Linked DNA regions of Zea mays. The protein of the gene in region 2 binds, or shares a complex with, the protein of the main gene of each other region. Links are inferred from orthologs where the notes say so. Each region holds a gene or a part of one and is shown on either strand. Other genes may lie near its edges.

Region 1 (8,088 bases), on a different chromosome or scaffold from region 2:
ACACCGCGCGCTACTTCATCTGCACACGCATGCGCGTGCGCCACCGCTAGCTGGAAAGAACAAGAGCGCAAAGAGGCCTCTGTTCGCCGTGTGCGCCAACCGTATCGTTGCGCTTTGCTGTTGCTGTGCTACGGTGGCACGGGTCTCGAGTCAAGCATGTCAACTGGATGGGAATAGGGATGGCCTTTCACCTGTGTGTGCTGCTGCCGCAAAAGTGTGCAAGCTGCAAGAGACCATGCGTTGCGATTGGCGGCCGAGCTACATGTTTACGAACTACTACTAGTAGTAGTACTCATCAGAAAGTCAAGAGTAGTAGGATGCGGCGCGGCGAACGGACGGCGCAGCATCCTGCCCGGACGCGGCTCGGCTATGGTCATCTTCTTCTATCTATCACCATTCATCACTGCCAGTACAACGCTGGCGCTGAATACTGCTGGACAAGGAAGGCAAATCGAATCAGGGCACGGGCACGGGCACGGCCAGCCTACTGCTGCTCTACCTCGTGGTTCGCATACCTAGGACTTGAGACCCAGCCTGGACCTGAATGCCGAGTACTACTACTAACCATGGGCCCAGCAGAAGCAGAGTAAACAACACGGGGGAATTTTCAATGGTACAGTGATTGGCTCATATAGTGCCAGACATGCCGGATAATAGAAGAGCTCACTGCTCACCACAACGCCAGTGTGAGAGCACAAGGGTTTATTCTTCTCCATGATACATAGCCTCAACATCTCCAGGCTGCCCAATGCTCAGCACCAAACGCAGAATTAACAAACAAAGCTCCCAGCAACACGTTCTACAAAGAACCGTTCCCCAGCAGCTACTAAGCAACTCCCGCACCACATAGATAGAGCTACACCCTACTACTACTATTCACACACACAGGCGCGGGCGCAGCGGGGGAGAGTGGGCTTCAGCCTAAACCGTACCTCGAACTCGGCGGTGCCAGGACGGCGTCGAACGGCACCTCCACCCTTTCCTTCACGACACAACGCGCCCTGCCGTTCTCGACCACCATCGCTTTGCCGGGAGGGCACCGCAGAGGAGCGCGCCGCTCATCTCCGCCGCCCGCCGCCACCGCCTGCTTACCACCACCGCCACCGAACAGACCCGCAATGTCCAGCCTGGCGCCGCCGTTCCTCCACGTCACGGACTCGTATCCAGCGGCCTTCATGACACAGACGGCGCCCACCACCATGACCGCCGTTTTAGCCACCCATCCCATGAAGGCTCCGATGCCTCCTCCTCCTCCTCCTCCCCCTCCGCCTCCCGAGCCGCGTTTCGAGGCCCTGGTATCTCTGCTCTCACGCCCGTTCCTTCTCGCGTCGTCCTGCGCAGTCCCGTCGTCCTCGGAGTCTGGTTGAGTGTGCAGGCGCTTGGGCTTGGACATGTAGCTCAGAGGGTACAGGTCGTCGAGCGCGAACGAGTTGGTGACATGGTCCGAGTAAGGAGGCAGGACGAGGCTGTCGTCGCGCTCTATTCTCTCGCCAGCGAAGGCGGCAGCCTCGTGGATCACCTCGCAGTCCTGCCCTTTGTACTCTCTGAGCTTGGCAAGCAGGGACCTCCGGCTTCGGTCGATCTGGCTCAAGATGGTTTCCCGTTCGTATCTTTGTTGGTGCTGGAGATCCTGGCAGCGGCGTTTGTTAAGGTGTTAGCAGGTAGATGATGATTTTGAAACAGTCTCAACACAAGCATTGAATCAATAATCCACGCAATCATTAACAGTAACAGGAAACAACACACCCTCAACTACCACAGCCAGTAAGTAGCTCACCGGTGTGAGGTCACCAAAAGAAACCCACTGTCGGTGCGATAAACATAACATAACATAGCAAAATAAATGTGATGTGTTATAAATCTCATATAAACAATTGACTAACAAGCAACACTAGCAATGAAAGCCCGCGTTACAATGTTTATGCCCCTTTCTGCACATCATGCCCAAATTTCTGGCAAGAATGTTATCATCGTTAAGAAAAAAATCGAACCAGTATTTGTGAACGACAGGAGCTCAATGGATCCAATTACTCGCAAAAGACTGGGCAGAACATCCCTGAATGCCTAAATCTTTAATGCAAGTAATAAACGATAGATTTAGTCGCCAAGTGACAACAATCCCCTATCAGCAAGGGTCACCAAACCGGTTGATTAATCTGGCTAGCAGGCCGGCTAACCGGTAATCGGCACCGGGCGGTAATGCCAACACACCAGTTTTGGCTTTTGAATTTGGTAGAATTTATATATTTTGAAAACTTTTGATGCCATTTTTTGTATAAATACTATGGAATATTTGAATACTTTCTTCTGAAACCAAATTTCAAAATACACAACGGATTTCAAACTAAAAATCATGGAAGTTTTCGGGAAAAGAAAAAAAAAGAAAACCCGATATATTGGCTAGGATTACTGATTAGCCGCTCCCCAAAGATGATAAATCGATGTGTATGACTGATTAGCCGGCAGCCGAGTAGGGGCTAGGGTTTGGGGGGGGGGTTCTACTTTTCACTAGAAATCTTTTCAAATTACCAATGCTACATGCAATATGGGATAAAATACTTGTAATAATAGATAACTAGAACATTAGGTGCCATTCGGGCGCCCTATAATGATTTGAAGAAAAAGCTTTTGTCCTCACTAGATAGTCATAGTTATAAAAAATATTAAACAGTAATACTAAGATCTAACAAAAAAATGGTTCTTAAAGCCATTGTCATCAACCTAACTGCCCCTCAACCTAGATGTAACAAAACTTGATATGAAAGCTTGCTACGATGTGTGTGTGTGTGTGTCTGTGTGCGTGCAGCGTGCGTGCGTGTGCGTGCGTGCCGCGTGCGTGCGTGTGTGTGTTAGAGGCGGAAGGTTTATTGTATCTTCAATGTTATGTGTGAACTATAAAAGTGAGACATGTAATATATTTGAACCATGCCGTGTCATGTAATGCATTTGGACCACTAATTAAATGTTGTTATTGAACTTTTGATAACTATTTGAATACTTTCTGCTGAAACCAAATTTCAAAATACGCAATGGATTTCAAACTAAAAATAATCAAAGTTTCGGAAAAAAAAAACTGCTATATGGGCTGGATGGAACGAAGGCCCAACCGGCTAATCGGTTAAGATTGTTGATTAACCGCTCACCAAAACCGATAAATCGATGTGTGGGACTGATTAGTCGGCGGTCGAACAGGAGCTAGGGTTAGGGGGATTTTTTTTCTCTTTTCACTTGAAATCTTTTTAAATTACCACGGGTAAATGTTGTTATTGGACTTGTGATAACATTTGGGGCATTTTTTTGTTCAATTGTTGAGACCTAAACATGTTTTTATTTGCAAAAACAAGAGATTATGTTTTACCTGATGTGCTGTCGGTTTATCAGTTCTGGAACCGATTAATTGGTCATATCAGCCAATAAATCGATGTCAAATCGAGCGGATTCAATAAATGGTTTGAATTTGGATTTGGCCGGTTTTTACCGGTTTATGCCGATAAATCACGATTAATCGCTAATCGGTCCTGGTCGGTTTTTGAAGCCCCACCGATTTGGTGAACCCTGCCTACCAGTGGTAGGCACGGCAGGCAATTTCCCTCAGAAAAAAAAATGCATGCTCATGATCAACTCAAATTGGAGCAAATTTCACAGCTCGATACAGCTAGCAATGGAAATGTTTAGATAACTGCATGCCAACTCCTATCTGCTACTAGTAATGGCAGGCAATTTACATGCCTAAAAAACAGACTCATGAACTGGAGCAAACTGAAACATCCTATGAGCCAGCACACGGTTAGTCCACTAATGCCCTGCACCTGCATTTAGTATGCTCTTATCACTATGCCCTGTTTCGGTAGCATTAATTCATGATCAAAATATATTAGTTTCCAAATCCAAGCAGAAAAGGCACCAACAGATCGACCACGAGCTACTATAAAAAAATCCGTGAAAGCAAGGACTGGGTGGTTAGACAATCCACAGACCTGAAGGGCGGCGAGCTGCCGCTCGAGCGACTCGAGCGCGTCGCTGATGCCGACAAGGCTCTCCACCTCCTCCTCCTCATCCTCCTCTTCCTCGGCTCCCTCCTCATCGCCCTCCGCCGCGTCCAACCGCTTCGCTGCCTCCTCATCGTCCCGCCGCGGACCCGGCGCCCCCGCCGCGGCAGCGGCGCAGGCCGATATCCTGGTGCGGAGGTCCGAGGCGCGGGCGAGGACCAGGCCAATCTCCTCCCCGTCCATCTCCGCCGCCGCCGCCACCTCCGCGCTCCCCCGGCTGGGGTTGGTAAAAACAAAACCCTAGGAAAACCCCAGGCGCGCGACAGCGACGCGTGCGCTGTGGTGGTGGGTGGCCAACGCCGGCTTCGTCGCGGGGTGCACGCGGCCAGCTAGTGCCGTGTTCGTGGCTGTGGAGACGTCGAGGGCCGAGGCCGAGGCCGAGGCGTATCCGCTGCCGGTGGGGCCCACCGCCAGCGTTTGCTGTGTGCACCCGCGTTCTATGGGCTTGGGCCTGTTAACTATTGTAAGAGAAATTGGGCTGGCTGACTGACTTTTTTTTCTTTTGCACGGTGGCTCAATGCTGCCTGAGTAGCTTAGTGCCTGTCTTTTAATAATGTCTTTGTAGTAAGCTAGTTAGAGCTCTAACAAGATGCCTCAAAATAGTACTAAAGAATTAAAATACTATATTATTTAAAGTGTTTAGGACTACAAAACAAAATCCTAAATCATATATTTTAGAAAATAAATTGTATTATTAGAAAAAAAGGTCAAAGACAATATAGAAAACACGAACAGGTAACTAATCCGGGTTATAGTATATTTGGGACATGCAATTGTCTACCCTGTAATAATTTTTTGTATAAAGATATAAAATCAGGTATTGTTGAAGTATTTTGTAGAGTTGAGTCGTATATTTTAAGACATATTATTGATTTAAGGTACTGTTGCAGATGATCTTATGTGTGTTTTCTTTTGAGGAAAATGTGGTTAGGGTATGCTTGTTAGAGTTTCATTCCTTGATTCCTTGCTCCAGCCATTTGATCATCTCGTGAAATTACTTTTGTGGTGTACAATGCAATAATACAAACTTAGTTTATCTCTTTCATTTGTTGCTATATCTACAAGCTAAGCTCGATGTGTCATCTGTTTACAGCACACACACACGCAAATTAAGATGAAGAATGCCCGTGCCTAATGGACCATGTGCAATCATCATCATTATCATTAATCTAGAACCAAAATCTATCAAGTCATCCACACCCCACCACAACTACCAATCTTTCAACTAGTCACCGTACGAGGAATCATCTTCACGACGTACGTGCAGCTTATAGCTAGCTGAGGCTGAGGTGCGGGAAGGCGAGGTCCCTGGCCAACAGGTACCGGAAGCTCCGCCGGTGGGGCACCCACTCGACGACTGCCTTCGCGGCACCGGGCCCGTCTCCGCGGCGGCGGCATCGCTGCACCGCCGTCCGCAGCGTCTCCGGGAGGCACCGCTGCACGGCGTCGAGGAGGCGGTCCGCGGTGAGGCCGGCGTCCCGGGCGTAGGCGTCCAGCAGCCTGGGCAGCAGCACCCGGCGGTCGTCCTTCCGCACCCCCGCCGTGGCCCGGACGTACTCCTCCCGCGCCGCCTCCAGCTGCTGCGCCAGCCGCTTCGGGAAGTACACCCGTACCTGCACGCCACACGGACACACACACACAGCAGCGCAGGCATGAGCAATGAGCATCCTTCATTCCTGCTGTCGATCGAGACAGTGCGGGCTGGATCCGCCGCGCCGCCGGCGACGACTGGCGGGCGGACTGATCGACTCTGAACTGAACAACAGACAGTATATAATGATCATGATGCGCCGTCCGTCGAGTGCTTGGATTGGATCGATGACCAACAGCGTGGTATACGTAACAGACATATACCAAGGATACAAAAGTATAGGTGCTTTGCAAAAGCTCCTTTCATCATCATTGTGTTCGTACGTACATCCATCGATCCATCCGTCCAATCCATGCGACAGGCGACTGGTTTCCAGTGCGTCATGCAGCAGCTTCTACCACTTTCAGAAACATCTGGACATGACTACTCCATCTCCATGCATGCACTAGACTAGGTGATCGAGCTCAATCATGTCTGAGAGAGTTCCTAGGAACCAACAACACTGCCCAGCCATGGTTTCAAGGCTTTATGTTCTGTCAGCCATCTGTGCCCACTTTAATCTCTTTGCGTATAAAAACGTAGACACGCGGAGCTTTTGCGTGTTTGCATTGCACTTGCACCCAAAAAAGAAGAAGAAGAAGAAGAAAAGAGAGACAGGATCGCCGAAAGGGGTAGGGGCGTGCTGGTTGGTTGGTTTTCTCACCGCGGGATCGGAGTGGCTCCCGGAGCAGAGCGCAAAACGCAGAAGGGGCTCCGGCTGGCGGACGGCGAAGGCTCGCCACTCCTCGCCCCCGGCTCTGCTCGCCCGCCGGCTCGCCTTCGTCGTCGTCCTCGGGTAGCGCAGCAAAGCCCGCAGCCACTGCGCGCGCGATCGATGCACCGACCAACAAAAGCGACGGGTTAGCATAGCAACGCATTTTCGTGCTCCTCGCTGCGCACACGCACGTTCTTTGACCCCCAATGATGGTGTGGAGGATGCATGCGATGGTGGTGGATGGAGGAGGGCACTTACATGCCCGGAGGAGCAGTGCGCCGTGCACCCGAGAACCAGCCCCTGGATGGCCGCCGCGTTGATGGCGCGCCCCGCGATCTTGCACTCCGCCTGCACGGGAGTACCTGTGTCAGCCATTGTTGCCGGCCAGCTGCTGTTCATGACTCATCAGGAGGAACTGTACGTGGTTCGGCTTTACCTTGACAAGCAGTGATGTCGTCGTCTTCAGCTGGTTCTGCTGCGGGACTCCATACTTGAGGTACGCCTACGTGGTGGATCGATCATCAGCATCATTCAGTTGCAGAAACGGTCGAGCTCCATAGATGAAAATGAAGGTCGAGAACGTTACATGCATGACCAGCGCGTTGTGGACGTTGATCCAGAACGCGAGCTTCTCCCCGCCCGTCATCCGCCTCAGATCCACCGTCTCCAGCCGGTAGAGAATCAGCCTGAAAGAAAAAGAACCGCATCGCACATGCACCGATGGTCCATGAATGTCGTCGTCATGCACATGCACTACACGCCATGCATGCCTTGCCATGCCACCACTGGCCTGAAGCTCTGAGCACTGCAGCAGCATGCGATGCGACGAACAAGAACAACCGATGGTATGGTAACTAGTACAAAAAGGCTCAAAGCCTGCGGGGACGATATATTTTTACAGGCGGTTTCGGTTATCCACCGACTGTGTTATTTCTAGTGGCGGTTCCTTAAGAAAACCGCCACTAGAAATCGTATTTCTACTGGCGGTTCCTTAAGAAAACCGCCAGTAGAAATCCATGATTTGTAGTGGCGGTTTTCTTAAGGAACCGCCACTAGAAATCGTATTTCTAGTGGCGGTTTTCTTAAGAAACCGCCACTAGAAATCATTTTTATCCTTAATTTTTCGAGTTTTTCAAACGGCCTCGTATGACAAAACCACCAAAATAAAAGTTGTAGATCTCTAAAAGTTATGAAACTTTGTAGTTGACAACTTTTTTATTTGAACTCATTTCAGTTCTCAAAAATTGAATCTAAGTATGTCAAATTTAAAATTCAAATTTTGCAAACTACCTCGGATGAAAAAAGTGTCAAAATAAAAGTTGTAGAACTTCAAAAGTTATTTATCTTTGTAGTTGACAACTTTTTTATTTGAATTCGTTTAGGGTCTCAAATAAGCAATTTACACTCAAATGGTTGTAATATGTGGAGAAAACAACTACAAACTAGACACAAGACATGTCATAGACGGAGTGGTAGGGGAGGGTACGCGCGAGGGTGAGGTCGACGGTTCGAATACTAACAACCGCGTAGCGCGCGAATTTTGCGCGAAAAATGCCGCGACTTGCGCGAGCGGGTGGGGTGGGCCTAATAAAAATAAATTTTTTAACTATTTTTAAAATATGTTTTATGTTTCCTGGAAACGATTTGCACTGGCGGTTTATTACGTCGACCGCCAGTGAAAATCGATTTTCACT
Region 2 (7,052 bases):
CTCCTCTTCTTCCCATGATTCTTTTACATCATCTTCTTCAACATCTTCATCAGCCCACTGATTTTTAAGTGGCTCGGCTTTCACAACAGGCACAACTGGCTGGAATTCTTCAGAATCTGAAATGCAGTATAGATTAGTTTCCATAACACAGAAACAGAGCATATGAAGGTGCCATAAGAAACCAACACCAGAACTTGAAACCTAAATTCAATATAAACTAAGATAATTGCACAAGAGGAACCCTGAGGAGCCTGTCGCTGTATACTCGCCTCCTCTAATAGCAAGGTTGAAATAGGTGTAGGGACACTGGGAAATTAAGCGGGCATGAAAAGACGCCTAACACAGCAGTCAGGAGCCTATATGGGGGTAACTTTTTTTAATATCATGTTAATCCAATCAGAGATGAAGGTAGCTTCAAGTAACTAGCAGGTACAGATGCCAAAATCACTGTTAAAGTGTTAATGGATCTCACTATTCTTAGTTGACATTCTAAATTCGACATGTATATATATACAGGAGACGCATATGACTAGATATATCCATATTTCCAAAACCCTTGACCATGTCCCTATAACGGAACGGATATCACCACAGCTCACAAACAAATGACCTCGAATCAAAATCCTACAACATCGAGCGTGCCTAGGGTCCGCGAACTCCCTACTCTAGATTCGGAAACCGCCGTGGGACAGGGACGGGAACCATGACGGACCGCGCGTCGGAACACGAACTAGTCGTGACGGTGGAACACCGGCGCACAGATCGGCAGAGGCGAGGGAAGAGAGAGAGGCGCTCACCCCAGTCCTCCATCGTGGCTACTGACGATCTCTAGATCCAATCGCTTTGGGCGGTGTCGGCGGCAGGTACGCGACCGGCGGCGGCGGGCGCCCGGTGCGTGAGCGGCCGGGGTGGGTAGGGTTTCCGCGGCTCTGGCGGCGTCGCAGGAGGGGAGGGTGGAAGCTTCTCGAGGGTTGTGGAACGCGGAGGGGGGAGGGGAACCGAAAGGATGAGTCGAGTCGAGTGGCGCTCTGCTGTGCTGGCTGCCAGTTTGGCTTTTGCTCTGTGCCTCTGTCACGCGGTCGTGTGGTGCGTTCTCTTCATCTCATTGGGAGTTTGGGACGGCCACACGGAGGGTTTTTTTTTCCCTTCGCTATTTTCCCCATTATTTTGAAAAAATCCGATACGATGTCGAAATGGGCGATCGAAACAATTTGGGCAACTATTGACTCCGAGTACATTTTTCTTTTTTTTTGGGCCAAAGCGTGCTGCTCGGAATGCAGTTTCAGCTACGAATAAGGCCCCGGTTTGAGGGTCAATTTTAGTCTCATTTAGTCACTAAATTGCTAAATGATATGATTAAAATAGGAACTAAACTGTTTTAGTCTCTATTCCCTTAAGGGGTGACTAGGTGACTAAAAGTGATTAAACCATATAAATTCTACTTTTTATCTCTCATTTTATTTCAGTTGCACTAATTGCATGAGAATACTATGGGGTATTTTAGTCCTCTTATAATTCATTTAATGTGATTTGAATAGTTTTAGTCTCTAGAACTAAATAGGATAGAGACTAAACTTTAGTCTACTAACTAAACTTTAGTCTCTAAAATAAATGAACCAAACGGGCCTAAAGATAACAGTAGAATAAACAAAAAAGTATTACAGACTTCACATTTAGATCTTGTTTGTTGGGGCTTGAGCCGCTTCTCAACATGAAAAAAAGCTAGAAAATTAAACATAAAATAGTGTTTTAGTCTCCTACCTCATTCGTGAAGGCCTTTACCATTTTCCTCTATATCTCTTACCTCTCCAAACAACAATGTTCTCTATATCTCATTCTTTATACGTAAATATCTATATTAAAAATATATTTTATTTTGTTTTTTTAATTAAATGTATTATAGTTTTGTTAAATCTATTGTTTCAAATATTAGAACGAATAGAAGAGAGAAAAACTCTATATAGAGATGATGCAACAATGTTCTCTATATTTAGAGAACTGTTTAGAAGATGTTGCTGGAGACAAAAAAAAAAGAGAAATCTTCTCTAAAATTTAGAGTAGATGGCGCTTTAAAGACCTGCCGGATAGAGTCTAAGCAGTGACCTTGTCTGACGTAGTGATGTGGTAAGCAGTGATGCACTGCCGCCTTCATTAAGATCAATCGTTTCAGAGGATCTGACCCAGCAATAGTAACACCAAATTATCTATCAATAAAAACTACATGACAAATTTCGACCTCAGGAGCTCATCACTCAGCAACCTAACCAAGCTTTCTAGTACTGGAACGAGCCAGTGCTCACACTGTTTATTTACACACGCTGCCAAAAGAAAAGAAAAGAATGGGAATCGAGCTTACCGCTACTCGCCTACTCCTGCTGCAGCTGCACAAGCACAGCCGTTCTACCTACGACCTGAGGACTGCGCCTTCGGTGATCCTCCACCCTGCTGGCCTGGAGTAGGTCATCTCGTACCGGGCGGTGTACTTGGTGTCGTACGCGTCGTCGTTCTTAGGGTCGGTCACGTCGGTAAGCCGGCCCACCTCCTCGATCGTCGCCTCCACCGCTGCCCGCCGGCCGTCCACGGAGACGGTGATGCTGTCGATCGTCACGCCAGAGAGCGCGTACTCCCAGAACCAGCCGTGGCGCTCGATCTCTGCAGCTCGGTCCGCCCACACCTTCAGCATGTTGCCGCCGAGGACCTGCCGGAGAATGAATTGGAAACGACGTCATTGTACAGTGGCACTGGATTTTAGTCATACAAGGACAGGGGTTCAATAAGAAGCCACCACTCCACTATTTGAACGAGTGGTTGCTGCGTCAATCTCGAATGGCTAAAATTCTTCTTGAATGTAACTGCGTGGATTTGTTGGGGGCCTTCGCCTTCCGAAGGTCCTCAAAAACATGATTTAACAATGTTTCTGGAGTATGATACATGAACAGGTACCTTCGGACTTACGTCAAAACCACAGTGTGAAGAAGCACAAAGAATACGAAGGATGGCGCAGAGCCGAAGCTATGCGCAGGGGAGCTTCGGCGTGATAGCAGAAAATGAAACCGACTTAAAGGAGAAAAGACTATTTAGACCCCGATGGATTACTATAGAGTTATTAGCAAGTGTAAAGGGCATAAGTGTAATTTTACATGGGCTGCGTCTCGTGCCTATAAATAGATGAACAATGCTCCCGTACTGTTCACGCTGACTTGGCATTGGCTTTTGCATCACGCTTGTACTTTTACATTCTTTCAAGCCGAAGGTACATTTGTAATTTGTTATTATTTCTATTTTTCCATAATAATAAAATAGAAATGAGTTAATAATAATATTTAAGTGTTTATGTTATTTCTTATATTTTATATGAATCCTTCTTCATTATTTGTTGTGCTGATGAAGGTACGTCCTTCATAACCTTCGTCTGAAACTCATTATATCCCAACAGAAATAATGCTTCGAAGGACGAAGGACTTTAACGTTTAACAATTTTTGTGTTGCCTTTTTCTTAATTCATAGCATTTAAGGACAAGTCCCCAACATTGGCGGCTGAGTTGGTTAGGTGGTTTGAGTAGCACTCCTCAGGTCCTGGGTTCGACTCCCCGTGGGAGCGAATTTCAGGCTGTGGTTAAAAAAATCTTCTCGTCTGTCCCACGCCAAAGCACAGGTCTAAGGCTCAGCCCCGGTCGTGGTCGTTCTCACATGGGCTTCGATGCCGCTGTGTATGGGTGGGGCAGGGGTTCGGGGGTTTTCTCGACCTGTGTGAGAAGGTCTTTTTCTTAATACAATGCTCGGGGGCTGTCTTACCCCCGCAGGTCGAGTTTTCAAAGACCGCACAGCCAAAGTGCCTCTCAACTCTCCAGCAACATGTGTGTGTTGGGGATTGTTTGGGACAAACCAACAAAAGCGCTAGCCAGCTATAAAGATGGAAATTTTGGGACCTCACCTCTTGCAATGCCGTGACAGTGTGTTCTGGCCCCAAAGCCTTGGACTTGATGCTTTGCCACCTGCGAACAATGTCTTCAGCCAACTTCGCGTCCATCCTAGGGATTTCCAGTGGCTCTTCATCTGCCGCTGGACCTTCAACAAACAAAGATGGAAGGATTAATTTCCCTGGCCAGACGCACGTTTAACAAATAATACGGCTTCTATGAGCATTTTATGTGTGCACTTCTATGATGTGCATTACATATAGAAATAGGAAGTGTTATGGCCCTGGACACAATTTATGTGGAATATTTGCTACGCGGCTTTGTCAGGAGCATCAAGCAAAACCCAGTGACTTTGGAGAAAGTAATGCTATCTGATACAGGTTTACTCACCATCAATGGAGTCAACAACCGCCACAGACCCATACTCGCCCCTAAGAGCAGGAAGTGACTTGTTACGAGGCAAGCACTTGAGACCTAACACTGCAAATAGTGCAAGCAGTGTACCAGCAGAGATAATCTTCAAGGCGTCATTTCTGGAATCATGGATAGCGTCTCCAGCAACACTTCCTTGGGCGAGTTTTTCAAGAGATTTATCAAGATCATCACTTGGGATATCCTTGCCTGACATGTCTAGCTGTTCTGTCAATGGGAAAACCTTACTGAAAGCTTGAAGAGCACTTGATTTTACAGTACCAAGCGCAGCAGTAGCTTGAGCACCAAGTTTTGCTATAGCGGCAGCTGCAGCTAAATGGGAAGCACCACCGCCTTCCATCCTTTCTAAGTAGCTTAGAACTTTTGGGTCGTCGTAATAGTCTCCCAGTCTGAACTGCGTCCCTCGGGTATCTCTGCTCCTTGGGAATACCTCGGAGACAAGCCATGTCTCCAAGAGCTTGCACAGCCCTGGAAGAAGATCATTCTCTTCGTTCATGCTAGAGTTATTCACCACAAACTCGATATTTTTGGGGTCCCTATATGACGAGGACTCATTATCAATTCCAAGCCACATTCTGCAATTGCAAATATCCCCCACAAGTAACGAGCAGAGTGCCCTTTCTAATGCGAGGTCCATCTCGTTTTCATAAGGATATTGAGAACCTATATTGAACTTCTGAAGTTGTTCGAAGAGTTCATCTGCCATCATGATGAATTGTGGCCTTTTACTTGCAATTGCTTGAGCAATGTGGGCAAGTGCGACACTATAGATCTCAAACCATTCAGGTGGTATGCTATTCGGTGTTTTAGAGAAGAAATCCATCTGAGATATAAACAGAAAATGAGTGAAGACTTCTAAAAACTGTGTTCAAGTAAAATGGACAGACTACACACTACAGTATGTTGCTCATTAAACTTGGTAGACACAAACCTGCTCAGCTGATGTCATCTGCAAGAAAGCCTCATTCATGAAGGCCTCACGAGAAAATCCTCCTCCAACAGTAGCAATACCACCCCTGCCAACACTCCACAATATGTTTTTTGCACCTTGCAGACCTTCTTGGCGTTTATTTTTATGTTTTTCATCAGTAGGAAGAGCAAGAAGCTCCAATACACAACGAGGTGTAATCTCCTCCAAAGTTTCATCAATCTGTGCAAGCAGTTCAGGTGCAAGATTGCTTGCACCATCCTCCTAAAGTAAAATGTTTCCATTAGTAGTGCTTACCAAGATATCTCTAATCAAGACAGAACCTACAAAACCTTCACACGCTGATCTAATAACAAGTGAAAATAAACTGACAGCTAAAAATGCAGCAGACATTTTTTGTGCTAGCAGCTTGCAATAATGGGATGATAATTTTAAGAATAAGAGGAGAAAGAGAAAAAACTAGAGCATTTCATTATCTCTATACAGCAGTTCCTAATAGTTTCATACCAGATTGGTTTTACAGTGAAACAGTATTAATGGCTGTGCCATGATGTAGCCAATGGTTTCAGGCTTTTTATAACTGATACTGATGCAAGGCCTACTGAGATCTAAAGTGCAGTGAGAAGTACTATTGAACTAATGCTTACCCAAAGTGATTTTGTTTACCAAAGAAAACAAGTGGTAATCGGTATCAACAGCAAACAATTATATAAAACCTGGAGCATGTTCATCTACAAAATATGGTATGTACTGCACACATATTTCGCCCTAACAGTGAACATGTCACATTAAGATTAAAACAACTGTATGTACACAGCCACCTTAAGACATATTGGATCTGCAACCTTAAAGCAAGTTAGTTCACCTGCAGGAGCTTCAGTGCCCTCTCAAGCACCTCACAACAGCAGATTACATCTGGAGGGCTTGCTGCCATAGCATCCCTTGATATGTCCACATAAGCCAATGCCATTGCTAGCACCACATCCTGCTTGAACCGCTTAGGTGGACGGTCCTGAAGCAAGTGCTCTCCAGTTGCTAACACCAGTTGTGCCTCCCCAGCCTCCTGAAGCACACACAGCACACCTGGAACCTGCTTGGCAAGTTTCCGGAGAGAGGCAGCAACAAGTTACACGCCAGCGCTATTTACAGATTCTACAAGAAACAGATAGCATTGTTCGCACGTTTGCTGTCCCATAACCTCACCTTATCCCAGGCAACATCCATGGTGAGTGCCGCATCACGGTCCTCGGAAAGCGCACGGTCGTACTCGGTGCGCGAGCTCTGGTTTGTGAGAGTATCATGGGCAATCTGCAGCATTTGCCGTCGCCCAACAAGAGCTTCTGTGCTGTACCCATACTGAGGTGGCTTAGCTATCCGCGACTCGAACGCCCTCCGAATGCCATCGCCTAGGAAATGTGGCTCCGCACCAAGAATCTGAGCATATAGACACCCATCAGATCACTTCGCAAAATCAAGCATGCAAGATTGCAGGTTATTATGCTTATCCCAGCCATTGGAGTGCAACTCTCTACAGAAGATCGTCTATTCCGTATTAAATAAGGTGCGATGTAGGTTGCCAGATACGATGGATTTTTTGAAACCCAAATAACTAGTAACACTGGTATTAGTCCATCAGACATGGTGGAAAGCAGTGACAAATGCATTTTTTCATGAGACTCGTGTGCTCCAAAGCCTAGCAAGAAATCTAATATGGAACTTACTGAACCTGGTGTCATATCCAGCTAGATAGTTCATAAGAGCATCTCAAAAAG

Evidence for each region. Proteins that work in one complex are often made in the same cells at the same time.
Region 1: the proteins of Protein ACCUMULATION AND REPLICATION OF CHLOROPLASTS 6, chloroplastic-like (region 2) and Plastid division protein PDV2-like are in contact, whole or in part, in a crystal structure (PDB 5GTB), measured with the Arabidopsis thaliana proteins. The link is inferred for Zea mays from reciprocal best matches to the Arabidopsis thaliana genes ARC6 and PDV2. Residues at the interface, in NP_199063.1 of Arabidopsis thaliana: Trp686, Gln687, Lys690, Phe694, Arg710, Met711, Ile714, Trp715, Arg718, Glu721, Thr722, Leu725, Leu727, Tyr729, Tyr731, Glu753, Leu756, Glu758, Ala760, Leu762, Asp764, Val766, His767, Asn770, Ala772, Thr773, Asp774, Arg776, Tyr778, Thr780; in NP_028242.1 of Arabidopsis thaliana: Glu287, Arg288, Val289, Glu290, Ile291, Pro292, Phe293, Asp294, Ala298, Lys299, Arg300, Asp301, Val302, Thr303, Tyr304, Gly305, Tyr306, Gly307.

Annotation. Positions count from the first base shown.
Region 1 is NC_050102.1:3,025,974-3,034,061, forward strand, and holds Plastid division protein PDV2-like, read right to left. Parts: upstream 4,327-8,088; 5' UTR 4,233-4,326; coding exon 3,978-4,232; intron 1,631-3,977; coding exon 917-1,630; 3' UTR 609-916; downstream 1-608. Other genes in the region: uncharacterized protein LOC100382699, read right to left, coding at 5,324-5,662, 6,344-6,499, 6,653-6,742, 6,831-6,896, 6,981-7,080. UniProt on the Arabidopsis thaliana protein: Component of the plastid division machinery consisting in a binary fission accomplished by the simultaneous constriction of the FtsZ ring on the stromal side of the inner envelope membrane, and the ARC5/DRP5B ring on the cytosolic side of the outer envelope membrane.
Region 2 is NC_050099.1:246,973,436-246,980,487, forward strand, and holds the end of Protein ACCUMULATION AND REPLICATION OF CHLOROPLASTS 6, chloroplastic-like, read right to left. Parts: intron 6,715-7,052; coding exon 6,484-6,714; intron 6,371-6,483; coding exon 6,146-6,370; intron 5,545-6,145; coding exon 5,284-5,544; intron 5,176-5,283; coding exon 4,311-5,175; intron 4,069-4,310; coding exon 3,935-4,068; intron 2,699-3,934; coding exon 2,405-2,698; 3' UTR 2,118-2,404; downstream 1-2,117. Other genes in the region: uncharacterized protein LOC100283844, read right to left, coding at 1-116, 798-810. UniProt on the Arabidopsis thaliana protein: Component of the plastid division machinery consisting in a binary fission accomplished by the simultaneous constriction of the FtsZ ring on the stromal side of the inner envelope membrane, and the ARC5 ring on the cytosolic side of the outer envelope membrane.